Linked DNA regions of Rhinolophus ferrumequinum. The protein of the gene in region 1 interacts with the protein of each later gene in a pairwise test. Links are inferred from orthologs where the notes say so. Each region holds a gene or a part of one and is shown on either strand. Other genes may lie near its edges.

Region 1 (7,407 bases):
TCACTTACCCTCTGGCCTCACTGCAACCCTCTATGAAATGCAGGGGTTGGGCTACGATTTAATGCCTGAAACCCCTTTATACTCCCAAACTGCAAGCTCCACATTCCCCTCCACAGGAAAGATGAATTATTTTCCTCTTCATACACCTTTGTCCGTGGGGAGCTGCCACGTGGTGAGTTGCCAAGACGAGCACTGTCCCCATACACAGCAGTAACAGGGGTGGGGGCGTCTCAGAGCAAAGGGCTGAGCACTGACTGAACTGACGCCTGCACCCATGAGCAGCTCTGCTCAGAAGGGGGCCTTCTGGGAAGTAAGCCACGCACCACTCCCGTGACACTGTGACACAACAACATGCATGTCAGCAGTTGTGCATCTAAGAAGAAAAAGGCACAGAACACCTTGCAAGTCAACAGCTCTAACTAGAATGGACCAGGGAAAGGGGGGAACACACATCCATTTTGCTGTTCACTCCTTGGGGAGAACATCCTGGTGCCAGATACAAGCAAAGGGGAAACCGTTTGCTGCTGTCGGAGTTTGGCAACCAAAGCTCTCAGTTGTCATGTGAGGTAAACAAGAGGGAACCAAATCAAAACAGCACACGGAGGACACGCCTGCTCCAGCGAATCCAGAATCCATGCGGCTCACATTTCGTGGGGCAGCTGCCCAGTGACTGACTCCTCCCAGCCGGAGCTGGACGGTGAGCAAGTGGAGTGCCCTACAGCACGTACACACTAGTACACTCGGGAATCCTTACCATGAGTTTCCACTCCCTGTGTAACCATCTTTTTATAGAATAAGCAAAACACAAAGCAAATCTTTTAATTCACGAGCTGGTGATTTTGCATTGCCAGTGACTCAGCTGTTTGGTGTCAGTCAGGAAGCCCCTCTGGAGGGCTCAGAACTCTTCCAGAGGCTAAATCTGAGCCAGTGAAACACAGCGGCAGAAGTTAAGTAGTTTGGTAATTAGGAAAAGAATGATTCTAAGGCCAAGAGTTTATGAAATACCCCCTGGATCCTGCGTGAAAAAAGACAGAAAAGATTAATTCCTTAATCCAGTTCAAAGAAAACAGTCAATTTCAAAATTTAAGGAGATTACAGGATTTTAAAAATGTGGTTGTACTTGGCTATGAAAAAGAATGAAATCTTATCATTTGCAATATGGATGGACCTAAAGAACATTATGCTAAGTGAAATAAGTCAGACTGAGAAAGACAAATACCATGTGATCTCACTTATATGTGGAATCTAAACAACAGAATAAACAAACAAAACAGAAACAGACTCAGAGATATAAAGAAAAAAGTGGTGGTTGCTAGATGGGAGGGGGGTGGGGATGAGGGAGCAGGTGAGGGGATTAGAAAGAACAAACCGGTAGTCACAAAACAGTCACGGGGACACGAAGTACAGTTTGGGGAATATAACCGGCAGAGCTGTAAAGATGATGGAAGGTACCCGATGGGCACTGGACTTATCAGGGGGATCACTTCATGGACTGTGTGGATGCCTGACCGCTGCGCTATATACATCTGCAGCCGAAGTAAAATAATATAAAATGTCAACAATGATTAAATATATGTAAGTGTGCACACGTACATAAACTACAGCATGGGGAAGGCAGTCAATGGGATTGTAACAGTCACACACCATGTCAGAGAGGTAGTGGACTGGGGGTAGTAGACGGGGGGGTTACCACTTTATGAAGGATGTAAATGTCTAATTAGTACATTGTTTTGTACACCTGAAACTAATAAAAAAAAAGTGGTTGTACTTTTAAAATACACGACACACAACGCATTAGGCTAATTCAGCCTCGCCTAATAAAAATACAATGCTGCTTTAAGGACTAAGAAAAAACCTAGCAGCTCACTGAACTTATCTGAACAACGTTAGGGTTTAAGCTCACGCTCAGGTCTGAACAGTCCTCTCCGACGCTTACTCACGCTCCTCCTGCCGAGTCAACTCTTGCCCCCGAGAACGCAAAGGTGACGCGCGGGCTCCTCCTCCCCCGCTCCCGGGCCCCCCCGAGCGGCCGCGCGGCCGACGCGAGGCCAGAGGGCGGACCGCACGGCTGCCACCGACCCACGAAGCAGCACAGCAACCCTCCGCGCCCGCGGGTCTGGAATCGCCAAGGCCCCGCGCACGAGCGGCAGCGCCGGGTGCCCCAGGTCCTCCAGCTTCCACTCTCCCGCCCGCACATCCCTGTTGTCTGGGGACGACCCTCTAGCCCAGGCGAACGTAAAGAGCGGCCTGCCCGCAGCCCACGGCAGTTGCTCCGAGCACCGTCCATCTGTTCCGCGGAGAAGCGCGGCCGGGGGCCGCGGGCCCGTCTGCATCACGGGCAACCCCCTGCCCTCCTTCCTCCGACCGGTCCCGGCGGCCAGGACGCTCCACGCTCTACTACTAACGCCCGTGCAAGCCCACGTCACACCCGGCTTCTGCTCCTGAAACCCACTGGTCTCACCACAGAACGTGGAAACGTGGCCCTGAAGAAGCCATTCGGACCCGAGACGCGACTCGCAGACGGCGCTTCCAGTTGCCCCGAGCCGGACAGTTCAGGCTCCTCGCCGGCCTCGGCCGGCGTCCGCGCCAACCCCCCAGCTCGGCCCCTCCCCAGGATCCACTGTCCGCGGGCGCGGCAGCCGTGCGCCCCGGACACGGCCCCGCACGGCCCCCACGTCCCGGGGGCCCCGCCGGCCGCCTGGCCCCACGGGCAGCCAGCCGCCACCTGCCCGCCGTGCGCAGGGACGACCCGCGAGGTGGGCGCAGCCTCGCGCCGGCGACCGTCCCGGCGGCCTGGCCTCGCCGTGAAGGGGCCCCGACAGGTCCCGCCCGCCTCACTCGCGTCCCCGCGTCCCCACGGCCTCCCCTCAGCACTCCCCGCCCCGATCCCGCGAGGCTCACCCTGCAGGCTCTCCTCCTGTAGTCCGGGTGTCCCGCTCTGCGACATGGCGCCGGAAGGAGGGCGCAGCGGCCGCCGGGCCGGGATCGGGTGGGCGCCGGGCGCTGCAAAGAAGACCGGCGGCAGCTGGAGCACGAGCGCGGGCCCAACAATTACAGCGGCGTCAGCCCAGGACCCCGACTGACTGACGCGCGCCGGCAGACGCACCGCAGATAAACAGCGGAAAAGCGGCGGCGTCGCCGATTGGCCGCGAGGAGGGGCCTGCGCGTACGCAGGGCGTGGGGCGCGCGGGGCGCGTGCGGCGCGTGCGGCGCGTGCGCGGGGTGGAGCAGAGGCGTCGCCTGGCGATCCGAGCGCTCGTGCGCGGGGTCTGAGGGGCGGGGCGTGCGTACGCAGGCGGGGCGGGGGCCCGGGGTGGGCGGGGCGGGGTCCGGGTGGGCGGGGCTAAACTGCTGGAGAGGCGGGGCACCGTGGGAGGGGCTCAGTACCTGTTGGTCCCGCCAGGCCTGGGCGCCTTGCGGACGGAGCTCGCGGCGGACGCGCGTCCCACCGGTGGACGCGGGCGAGGTGCAGGTGAGCACGGGCGTGCGGCTGCGCGGGCCGGGTTGGACGCTGAGGCCCCCGGGCTGTCTTTAACGCTGCTGAGTTTGCTGTTCTCCCTCCAACACAGTAAAGGCAGTAAACTCGACACCGGGCAATGCGAAAACCGGACAGCCGAGGACCGCAGGGCTCGCTAGTGGACTGCGTGGAAACACACCGGGGCTAAGCCATCTGTGAAGACAGAACTGAGACACACCCGCGGCCACCAGCCAGGCAGCAGCCCCTCACCTGCAGTGACCAACCAGGAGCCCAGCCTCCTCTCTTGGCAGGAAGTGAGACCAGTGTCTCTAGCAACTGGAAGCCACACAGCAGCCCTGTAACAGTCAGCCCCAAACGGCCGGACTTGATCCATAACTGACAGCTTCCCCAATTTCTGTCCCCGCTGCCAGCTCAGGACCCACCACAGAAAGCCAGACGCCGCCCTGACCAATCTCGGTGTCCCCTGCTCCAGGCTTTCCGGTCCCAGCCTCCATGGGGACACACCTGGAGCCTCCCTTTCCACTGTGAAGTCTCCCACTCCCCTGCCTGCCTTTGGGTCTCTGCCAAACCCAGTGACGGGGACGGGTGCCAAGCACGCTCTGGGGCAGCAGCCCCTGCTGTCCTCACCTGGGGGGGGGTGTCTTTGTTTCCATTCTAGGTAAGGATGCCCTTGAGAGGGGCACTAAGCTTAGCCTTCTTTCTGGATGTAGAGGTTCTGGCCTTTCTTTCCATTCAAACGTTAGTTCTCCTTTATTCAGCAAGTCTTTTCCAAGCGCCCCTGTCACTGCAGTGTTCAGGATGGGTGCAGCAGCGGACGCACGGGACACAGCTGCCCCACACGGACACAAATGGCACGTCCCCTCATAGAATGTGCCCACGCCTGCCTCTTCTCTCTGGGCCCTTTACTGGGACGACTGCCTGGGGAAGCATCACTGGGGAAGCTGTCCCGTCTCCCAACCCCTGAGCGCAGGCTGCTTGTCCGCTGTTCAGGTGTTCTCACTTCTCGGCAGGTTCTGTGCTCTTCAGTGTACAGCGTCTGCGCACTTGACAGACATTCCCTAAATAGGCCTATTTCTAATGTTACCATATTGTGAAATTTCGTTTGATTTTTTTATTGCTAATATGTACAATGATCACGGACTTTTGTATGTCTCCTCACCCCTCAACCTGCTAAGCTCACCGGAACGTGTACATTTCATAAGCCCTCTAAGTCTCTCTAGGCCGATGACCCAGAAATGTTTAAATGGAAATGTTTCTTTTTGCAACCTGATTTTCCCTCCCCATCTAGAACACTCTACCAGTCTGTGGGGGGGGGGGGGAAGAAGCTCCACGGAAAGTAACCTCAGAGTGATCTGATCACAAATTCCTAACGGGCAGGGCAGGTCGCGGTGAGTAGTCCCACCCCAGGTCTGTAACTTCTTTAGCAAAAGGTTTCTCTTTGCTGTAAGCAGCCCTGTCCATTGTTTCTGTGCATCCAGGTTAACAGCCTTTGAAAGAAGCAGAACCACCCTCAAGAGAGCACTGTAATCTTAACTGTCCTGTAATCCAATCCCCGCCTTGCTCCTTCCCACCTCCTTGAAATCTTCCTTAGTTCCTTCCTAATCTCATATGCATAAAAGAAACTGCAAACTTATTCTCCAAACATTTATCTCAGTCTGCTGAGATCTTGCTTCCAGGTGTATCCTCTGTTTGGCCCAAATACATTTTTATAAGAAGTAATCTACAGGTTTGGACATTCTTACGTTAACAGGTCCCAGCAACTTCCATCATTTCATGTCCCCACCCAGGGAGCCCTGAGGCCTAACTTCCAACAGCGTCACTGTAAAGCTGCTTAGTGCCCCGGGGAAGGTTATAGCAGACAGGGTGGGTCAGGCTGCCCAGGGGAAGCCTGAGGAGCCCCCAGTCAGAGTTGGGGATCAAGGAAAATGCAAGTGGGAAATGGGAAAGAAAACGCGTGGCTTGAAGATCTGCTCCAGTTGGCCTACCCTGAAAAACGGCGATGGCCAACAGTGGCCCAAGGAGACAGGAGTCTCAAAACTGAGATCCTGGGACATGAGGACAGTAGGGAAAAACTGAGGAAATCTGATTAGCATAAGTCTTACTCACGTAAGATGTTAATAACGGCAAATTAGGTGTAGGGTGTGTGGGAACTCACTCTACTATTGGATTCATCATTTTTCTGTCGTTCTAAATTAGTCATAAAAATAAAATTTATTAAAAACAATATATTAAATGCCACTCGTATGAAAATGTATAGTATTAAATGCATTTTAGGACAAGGTATAAAAGAAATGAACTAGGTAGTTTAAAAAGCTAGGAAAAAACCCTAAATAAAAGAAATTAATACATTTGTAACATTATTATAAAATTAATAAAAATTAAAGCAAAATTAATGAGTTAGAAAACATATTTGCCTTCATTAATTTCAAATCTTTGGTGATAAATGACATTTTGAGCACTACATGAGGATCTGATTATAAATTCAGAGGAAATTTTAAAATATGATATAAAATCATATACACTTTTATAGTTAAAAAAAGAAACCTGAATAAAATTATTTTTCAGGAAAATATAAAGTTGATTCAGGAAAGGAGAGCCTCTGAAGCAGTGGAAGTGATTGGCACGTGGCTGACGGTCTGATTTCCCCAGAGACAGAGCTCAGGCAGTTTTACAAGTTTCTGCCCAACCTTTAGATCGGGGAGCATTTCCGTGTGCTTTCAGGCTGTAGTCAATAGTGAGATTTTACCAGTTCATTCTATGGGGTCGGTACAACCCTGATTCTAACTTCGCATCATGCTTTCATAGTAGGAAACAAAATATTGAGCTATAGTCACCTAGGAATATGCATGGAAAAGTACTGACTGAACTGACAGCAAACAGAAGACGAATCCATTACAACCATGTAAGTTCTCTCCTGGGACGGTAGGGATGGTTTGACCACATATTTAACAAAAGATTAAAGAAGAAAAAGTAGCTTGAGGATCTTAAAAAATACCTGACAGATCAAAGACTAAAAATAATCATTTTAGAAGCAAAAATAATTTCATGTGCATTTCTGACATGAACACACGCTAGAAACAAACTTAGTAAGTTGGGCGGGGGAGAGGGCAGTGGGGGGACGTGGGCTCCTTCCTCCTTGCCCTCACCTGAAGCCCTGCACGCTGCGTGACGTCCTGCCTTTTGGTCTAGAGAAACGGAAATACCAGAGCAGCCTCCAGCACCCAGCACCCAGCACCCAGCAGGAGGTGCCGGGCCCCAGCGCCCAGAGTGCCAGCCATCCATCCTTGGGACCAGGCGTACCACTGTGTAGCTGCCCTCATTCCTGCCCATGTTTCAAGGCTAGGACTTGGGCCTTCAAAACAGCAACTCTGTGAGCCCTCCAGAACCCATCAGGAAATCCCTTCTCCTCTCCCGGCACTCCAAGCTGGCTTCTATTACACTCACAACAGAGACACCGCCCTGGTAAAAGTAGCGCACCTGAAGCCCACGATGGGTGACACCGTGGCATCCCCGTGAAGTCAGCAGCAGGCCAGGGGCTTGTCAGCAGCCCGAGCTCTGAGGTCTGAGGCCGTGCCAGAAGACAGGAAGGAGGAAGGAAAATTTCACAACACCAAAAAGGAGGAGGCGAGACTGCTACTACTGACCCACCTCATCCCCCCAGGTAGGTTCCCTGAGGGCAGGCCCGGCAGGCAGCAGGGGTTCAGTTAGTATCTGTTAATTAAAGCAGTGGATTAACACAGAATAATAAAATTGTTTCTCTGAAGATTCAGGACAATCAATGGAGAAAGTCTTTGAACAAATAAAAATTTAATAATGTGTGTCATAAGGTAAGCATACACAAATCAATAGCTTTTTTAAAGGCTAGCAGTGACCAATTTGAAAATGGAAAACATCTCATAAGAGTGACAACAAAACATATCTAAGAATAT
Region 2 (7,284 bases), on another chromosome or scaffold:
GCAGAGGAAACCACCAAATGATGTGGATTTTGGTGATGAAAAGTCAAAGATACTAAAATTCCAGTAAACTGTAAAATCGTACACCAGTTACAGAAGTGGAACACAAAGCACACAGCCGATGCAAATTCTGTTCGTGGTGAGACAACGTCCAGTGCAAGATACTCGGTGATGCCCACTGGAATGTGGCACACACTCCGGCTGGAGTCCCCAGACTTCTGGAAAGTCAACTTACCTCTTTACAAACACAGCTATGCTTTCCAGGGAAAGGGGCTACACTGGTTTTCTGCTTTGGGTAGATTTTTACCAGGTGGGTGTCAGAAAAGGCACGCCCGAGGTTTTCTGGTGCAGTGTGTTCTTGTAATTGGGTGGTTCCCAAATTTTAATACAAAGAAGAAACCCCCAGGGGAGTTTGTTTAGGATGCTGATTGCCAGGACCCAACCTGGGGTCTGGTTCATGAGTAGTCCCTGAAATCCCCGAATTCAATAACCGACTCCAGCCAGGTAAACTGTGATGCTGGGGACCCTTGGACCCCCAGTTTGAGAAACCCTGAAGGGATAACCATTTATCCCAAGATTTCACTGTACAGCAAATGCTGGATCTTGGAACCTCAACAGCTGACAAGCAAGGAAAACACTTTGGGCAGGAAGGAATGATCACAGTGTGGTTGGCAGGGAGAGCTCTTTGCAGGGGGAGAGGTGGGAAGCACCACACCTGATTTACGTCACTGGCTCATCAGCCTGCCCTTGGCCCAGGAACACACGCGCACACTGCAACCACCGCATCCCTGACCAGAGACGCGAAGCCCAGACTCACATCCAACCAGACATGCACCTACCCAGCCTCCGTTATCCTGGATCCAGGTGTGCAGGTGCCGGTTCAGGTACTCGGTCATCCACAGGGCGATGTTGTCCACCAGGGGCGACATCTCCCGGTTGACGCTCTCCACACACATGACCCCACCGAACTCAAAGAAGGCCACAATCCTCCCCCAGTTCACCCCGTCCCTGAAAAGCTCCTCCACCACCGTAGCAAAGCGTCCCCTCGCGGTGAAGGGCGTCAGATGCAGCTGGCTGGACATCTCGGCGAAGTCGCGGCGGTAGCGACGGGAGAAGTCATCGCCGGCCTGGCGCAGGGTCAGGTGGACCACAGGTGGCACGGGGCTGAGCGCAGGCCCTGCGGCGGCAGCGGGGGCAGCCAGCGGCGGCGGCGGCGAGGTCCTGGCGGGCGCCGGGGTGCGCTCGGGCTGGGAGGAGAAGATGCCCGGCGCGGGGGTTGCCCCCGAGGACGCGGCGCCCGCGTCTCCGGCATCCCACTCGTAGCCCCTCTGCGACAGCTTATAGTGGATGTACTTCATCACTATCTCCCGGTTATCATACCCTGTTCTCCCAGCGTGCGCCATCCTTCCCTCGAGGAAAAGCAGCCGGGTACCAACAGCACCTCTCGCCGCCTCTCCCGCCCCACGGCCCCGAAGGAAAGAAGAATAGTTATAATCCAGCTATTTTATTGGATGTGCTTTGCATTCTTGGATGAGGGGGTGTCGTCAGTCACGCGGAACACTTGATTCTGGTGTTTCCCTCTTGGCATGAGACGCAGGAAATTTTTATTTAAATTCCTTTCGGATCTTTATTTCATGAGGCACATTATTATTACTTATTGTCAATATCAATCTACTTCCTTCGTGATCCTGAAAGGTTAAAAAAAAAACAAAACTGATAAGTCCAGATCAGGTGCATTTTCCTGTATACACTGGGTGAAAGCAGAGCATACACACTACAAGTTACACGGCTAAAAAGAATGTATTAAACTGGCCGGAAATTAAACTTACTCGAATGCACTTAAAGACAAAATCGCAAATGTTTCTATTGAAAGTTACATTAAACCAATTTCCTGTGCAAAGAACTTACTTGTATTTTTTAAGGACAACATGATCTTCTGTCAAGTATCCTTTTTTGTGAAAACAAAACAAATGCATAAGGCAAAGAGTCCATCGATCTTCAGAACTCTCCGGTTATAGCTGCTTTAAAACTTCCAAATGAATCAGGAGTTGGAGGGGGCTGCGGAGGAGGGTGGTAAAAATTAGGAGAATTTCCAGATTGATTCCCAGACTTCTTCACAGAAATGTCAATCCGCAGGAATCCCAACCGGAGATCTCCAGCACGAGAAAAAAAAAAAAAAGAAAAAAAAAGGCAGCGGCGGCGGCAGCAGATGAATTACAATTTTCAGTCCAGTATTTGCAGTCTTGTGATTTCCCCCCTCTCGGCAATTTACACGCGCGCACACACGCGCGGGCACAGACATGGACCCCTATCCGCGGGACCGCTCCACGCCTCCCCGGGAGAGACACGGGGACTGGGGGCCCGGTGGACGCGCCGGGCACGGGGGCAGGAATCCTCTTCTGATTAAACTCCGAACGGCAAATGCATTTTTCCGAAAAGCTGCTTGATAAATGAAGGCAGGACGCGCCTGGCCCGCCGGTGCCGAGCGCGAGGAGCCCGCGCTGTGTGTGGTGCGGCGAGGGGTGGGGAGAAGGAGGTGGTGGGGGAGGGTTTTATTTTTTCCCTCTTTTCCTAAAAAGGATGACTGCTACGAAGTTCTCCCCCCTGGACCCCCTCTTCCGCTGCACCCCACCGGCGCACCCCGCCTCCGGGCTGCGCACCCTTTCTCCTCCTCCTGCTCCTGCGCGGCGGCGCTGGCGGCGGCCGTCTCCGGCGCTCCCGCCGCGCACCCGCTCCCGGCGATGACGGCCGTGCCGGTGGGGAGGGCCCGGCGCCCGGCACCTTCGCTGGCAGCGGCGACGGTTCCAAGGGGAAACCGAGAGCGGCGGGAGGGCGGGCAGGAGGGCGGCGGGCGGGGGAGGGGGCGGGGAGGAAGGGGGCGGGCGGGGGGGCCTGGCCTCTTACTTCATTCTCCGTTCGAATCGACTGGTTTCCTGTACGTACGTCACACTGTTCATTCAAAAAAAAGAAGAAAGAAAGAGCCCTCCTCTGAGCGGCCCCACCGCCCCTCCGCCCCGCTCTCCTTCCCGGGTTAAAGGAGCCGCTGCCGGGCCGGGAGCGGCGCGCCGGGAAGGGAACACATGGCGCGCAGGGCCGCGGCCGGGGAGGGCGCGCCTAGCACGGCCCCCGCCCTCCCGGGCCGCTCCGCCCGCCTGGCCGGTGGGTGGCGCGGGTGGCGCAGGCCTCCCGCGCGGCCGCGGCGCGGTGGGTGTGCGCGGGGCCTCCTCGGGCCTGCGGCGGGCTGGGCGCGCGCTCGGGGGCCGGCGAGGGGCCGGGGGTGCCCGGGAAATGGGACGCGCCCGGGTTGGCGGCGGGTGGGTGCGCAGGGAGGGCGCCGGGAAAAAAAAACAAAAAAAAAAAACTGCGATCCTTTCTAGCCGTGTGTGTGTACATCGTGTTACCAGCGCTTGGCCGCCGCCTGAGAGACGACCGAGGCCGATGCTGACCCGAGCACAGGGACCTCAGCGCTGCCCTCCCGTAAAGAGAGGCGACGCTGCACATTCATTAGCCAGGGAAGCCCCAAGCGTCTTGTTTACTTTAAAGTTGCCTCCTAGGTGTCCACGCGGAACACATTCTGGGACACCATCCGTGACCAAGGCCAGAGAGAGCTCTCAGCGGGCCGGTGGAGGGGCGAGTGGGGGATATCAAGGGCTTTGAAATGGTTCTGTCAATGTTTTTTCTCTGCTCCTGGTACAGAGTTAGGACTGTCCGCTGCGGAGGTCCACGGGGCGACTTTAGGCCCACAGTCCCAACACCAGGGTGGGTGGGTCTCTAAAGGCCTCCACAGTCGCCTAGCAGCCAATCCTAGATGGCCACACCTTCTCAGTTGTACACACACACACACACATACACACAATTTCACACACATGTACACACAAGAACACATTTTTTAATTCATCAGCATTGGTAGCCCCAGGAGAAAAGCACAAGAGCACAATCAAATTGCACGTTAACTATTTTTATCCCTCAGAGTCTTTGACATATAAAGCCCCGAGAAAAAATGTTTACTACAAGCACAGCAGCTTGCTTAATAGGGCTCAAGTACAAATATATAGGGACACTGGATAATTGTGGTCTTAGAAATATGACAAATGAGCACTGCACTATATACAGATATACTGTCTGACACTATTTTGCCTCATTCCTAGTCTAAAATCAAAGCATTTATTCCTAAGCAAAAAAAGCACAGCAAATTATTCCCCTTTCTTCATCTTTCATACCCAATCAGCCCCCATGCCAACCTCTTGCATGTAGGAATGGGTGTGTGGTCTAAACTTTGCATTTAGGCAAGAGGGAGTAAAGGAAGACGCTCCATTCTGTCTTCTGTTGGCTGTGACAGAGTCCCCCTTTACCAACGGCAGTGGCGGAGAGGTGTTCTGGCCTGCAGATAGACACTGGGTATAGATTGACCTGAGATACATATTCCCACAGAAATAGTAGAAACCCGCCTAATGCCACAGCATTCTGGTTTAAGGATCTTCTCAGAACCGTGTCTTAAACCCCCAAAATGATTTAAGAGGAATTGAAAGCCTTAGTGCTTCTGAGACCCAGCATTTGAGTGAGGAAATGAAAGGACAGAGCTGGAAAAGAGACTGTACTTCTGCAAAGGGGACAGCCGGAACGAAACATACCGCCATTCCCAGGGAAAGAAAAGCTTCCTTGTTTCTCCCTCTCCTTTGCTCCCTAGAGCCACACTTTACAAATGTCCCCAGACTGATTCCTTATGTGGCATCTTGAGCATAACCATTCTTAGGATAGGTCTGCATTACAGTCCTTAGCTAGGGTTTATATTCCCTGGGAAGGTTCTGGATACTCTTTCAATGGAAGGAATGAAACCCTTCATTCAGATTCCATGTTTATTAGATTCCACTTTAAAGAGTGAGGTCAAGTGTTTTCCTCAGAAGTGTGTGAATTAACTCTTTGTGTCTGGGCATTGGTGAGGTGGTGACAGAGCACAGGGCTATCAGGAGTCCTGGGTTTGAATCCTAGATCTGTGACGGAGACCTTCCAACAACTGCAAATGTTGCTCTGTGGGCTTTTCATTTCCCAAAATGTCTTCCACTTTTAAGAGCCAATGGACGACCCGTTTGCCAGCTTTGCCTGCCTGGCTGGATTCTAGGAGGGTAGATTCTAGGAGGCCTGTGTTTTCCCTCTTTATTCTCCAGTCTACCAAACAAAAAGCTTTTTATTGCCAGTTTTCGCCACCTACTGGTTAATGTTTAACAGTATCATTCAGAAGGCTCTCTTCATCCATTACCAATATAAATATTTCCAAAGTTTATGAAATTCAAAAAGAACATTATTCTAATCTGGATGTACTAGTGTTTATTATAGGTATGTATTAAATCTTCCCAACTATTAAATTTTTTATTTAAAATGAGGAAAGTCATCATTAACTGAAAGGGAGTGGACACCTAATCGGTAAGATGAAAGAGTTAAAAATATAAAACATGACCCGAACAATTTAGGTACACTGAAGTGGAAATAAATCCATAAACAAAACAAACTGACTGGAGAGAAACAAGTAGTCTATATCGTTTTCATAAAATAAGAAAAATGAACTACTTAAAAAATAACATCTCACACACCTAGATAAAAAATCCAAAACACTGATTTCCAATTTCAAATATCTATCTTCTCAATTAGTTCCAGCTTTATTGAGATATAATTGGCATAAATCTTATACATTATAAACTCTATGCTAAGTAGTACCACACTCTCAGAGGGTTTGTATACTTTGTTGGCAAACATTATATAATAATGTTACTAATTAGTTACTAATATTGATATGAACAGTAACACTGTTTCTGATTCACTTATGCTCTAGAGCCTTTCTTCTGTAAGAGTGATCACAAGGGAGTCATCTGCTGCGCGCCCCGAAACTATCCTTGGCATCATCGGGAAACCCTTGCCAAATCTAAACCAACAAGCTTTGGTTTAACAGAGAAACCCACCTGACTAATTTATGATGGGTCTTAAACCTCAAAAAATATTTAGAATAATTAAGCAACAACCTTTGAAAGTAGGCAATGAAAAGCAGATAAATCATTCCTTGTGCAAGTTTAACAGTGGGCAAATAATGTTTACTTTTGGTTTACAAAGGAAAGTGCCAGCAATTCACTTGTGGCAATTTTTTCCTTTCAAATTAACGACTTGGCTTTTGAAGTGAAATAAGAGTAGGAACTTATATTTTTCAAACGCCTACTGCTGTCGTTGGATCGAAACTGCAGTAATAAAACCAAACAACATGAAACACCATAGTACTAAGGGGGTAATTGACAAAGCATTTACATTCTTAATGTGCAAAAACTAACTTTTATTCTCATAATGCTATTTAGCACACAGCGCAGTATCTCCCAGATGTTAATTCCTGACGAACACATTTAGAAAAATCAAGGTTAATATGTTTGTTTCCTAGGACTGGCATAACAAAATACCACAAACTGGGTGACTTAAAACAGAACTTTATTCTCCCACAGTTCTGGAGGCTTAAAGCCCAAAATCAAGGTGTCAGTGGAGTCATGGGCCCTCTGAAGGCTCCAGAGAAAAAACTTTCCTGGCCTCTTCCGGCTTCTGGTGGTGGCTGTCCATCCTTGTTGTTCCTTGGCTTGCAGCTCCATCACTCTGATCTCCGCGTCTGTTGTCACATGGCCTCCCAGTGTGTCTGTTTTCTATTATAAGGTCACCAGTCATATTGGATTAGGATCCTAATAACCTCATCTTCACTTACTTATTTTAGTAAAGATCCTATTTCTGAATAAGGCCACATTCACAAGAACTGGGGGTTAAGATGTTAACATCTTTTGAGGGCACACAACTGAACCCATAACAGTATGTATCTAATACTGTGTTTCCCCGAAAATAAGACCTAACCAGAAAATAAACCCTAGCATGATTTTTCAGGATGACATCCTCTGAACATAAACCCTAATGCAACTTTTGGAACAAAACTTAATATAAGATCCAGTCTTATTTCAGGGAAACACAGTATGGTATCTCTCGAATAAATGAGGATTGTTTATTCCAGGGCCCAAGGACTCAGCAACCCCTAAATTTCAAGGGGAACCATAATCTTTCGAAAACTGAAATCTGGCCATTTCATGTTTCCATTCAAAGTTCTACACAGGCTAAAATCTCAACTCCTTTTGCACAGCATGATGTGGCCCAAGCCTACCACCTGGGTGCCCTTCCACTTTCCCTTCTCGCATCTTCATTAGCTTTGTGTGCTGTCTGGAATATGCCAAGCTCTCTCATGACTTTTGCCTTTGCATATCTGTTTGTCTCCCT

Evidence for each region. The genes of interacting proteins can lie anywhere in the genome.
Region 2: the proteins of BNIP3 (region 1) and BCL2 interact in a two-hybrid assay, tested with the Homo sapiens proteins (2 studies listed by BioGRID and IntAct). The link is inferred for Rhinolophus ferrumequinum from reciprocal best matches to the Homo sapiens genes BNIP3 and BCL2.

The regions. Positions count from the first base shown.
Region 1 is NC_046299.1:993,241-1,000,647, reverse strand, and holds the start of BNIP3 (BCL2/adenovirus E1B 19 kDa protein-interacting protein 3), read right to left. Parts: upstream 3,105-7,407; 5' UTR 2,948-3,104; coding exon 2,902-2,947; intron 1-2,901. UniProt on the Homo sapiens protein: Apoptosis-inducing protein that can overcome BCL2 suppression. May play a role in repartitioning calcium between the two major intracellular calcium stores in association with BCL2.
Region 2 is NC_046302.1:50,485,009-50,492,292, forward strand, and holds the start of BCL2 (apoptosis regulator Bcl-2), read right to left. Parts: upstream 3,052-7,284; 5' UTR 2,902-3,051; intron 2,646-2,901; exon of another isoform or gene 2,056-2,645; 5' UTR 1,906-2,055; intron 1,686-1,905; 5' UTR 1,401-1,685; coding exon 837-1,400; intron 1-836. UniProt on the Homo sapiens protein: Suppresses apoptosis in a variety of cell systems including factor-dependent lymphohematopoietic and neural cells. Regulates cell death by controlling the mitochondrial membrane permeability. Appears to function in a feedback loop system with caspases.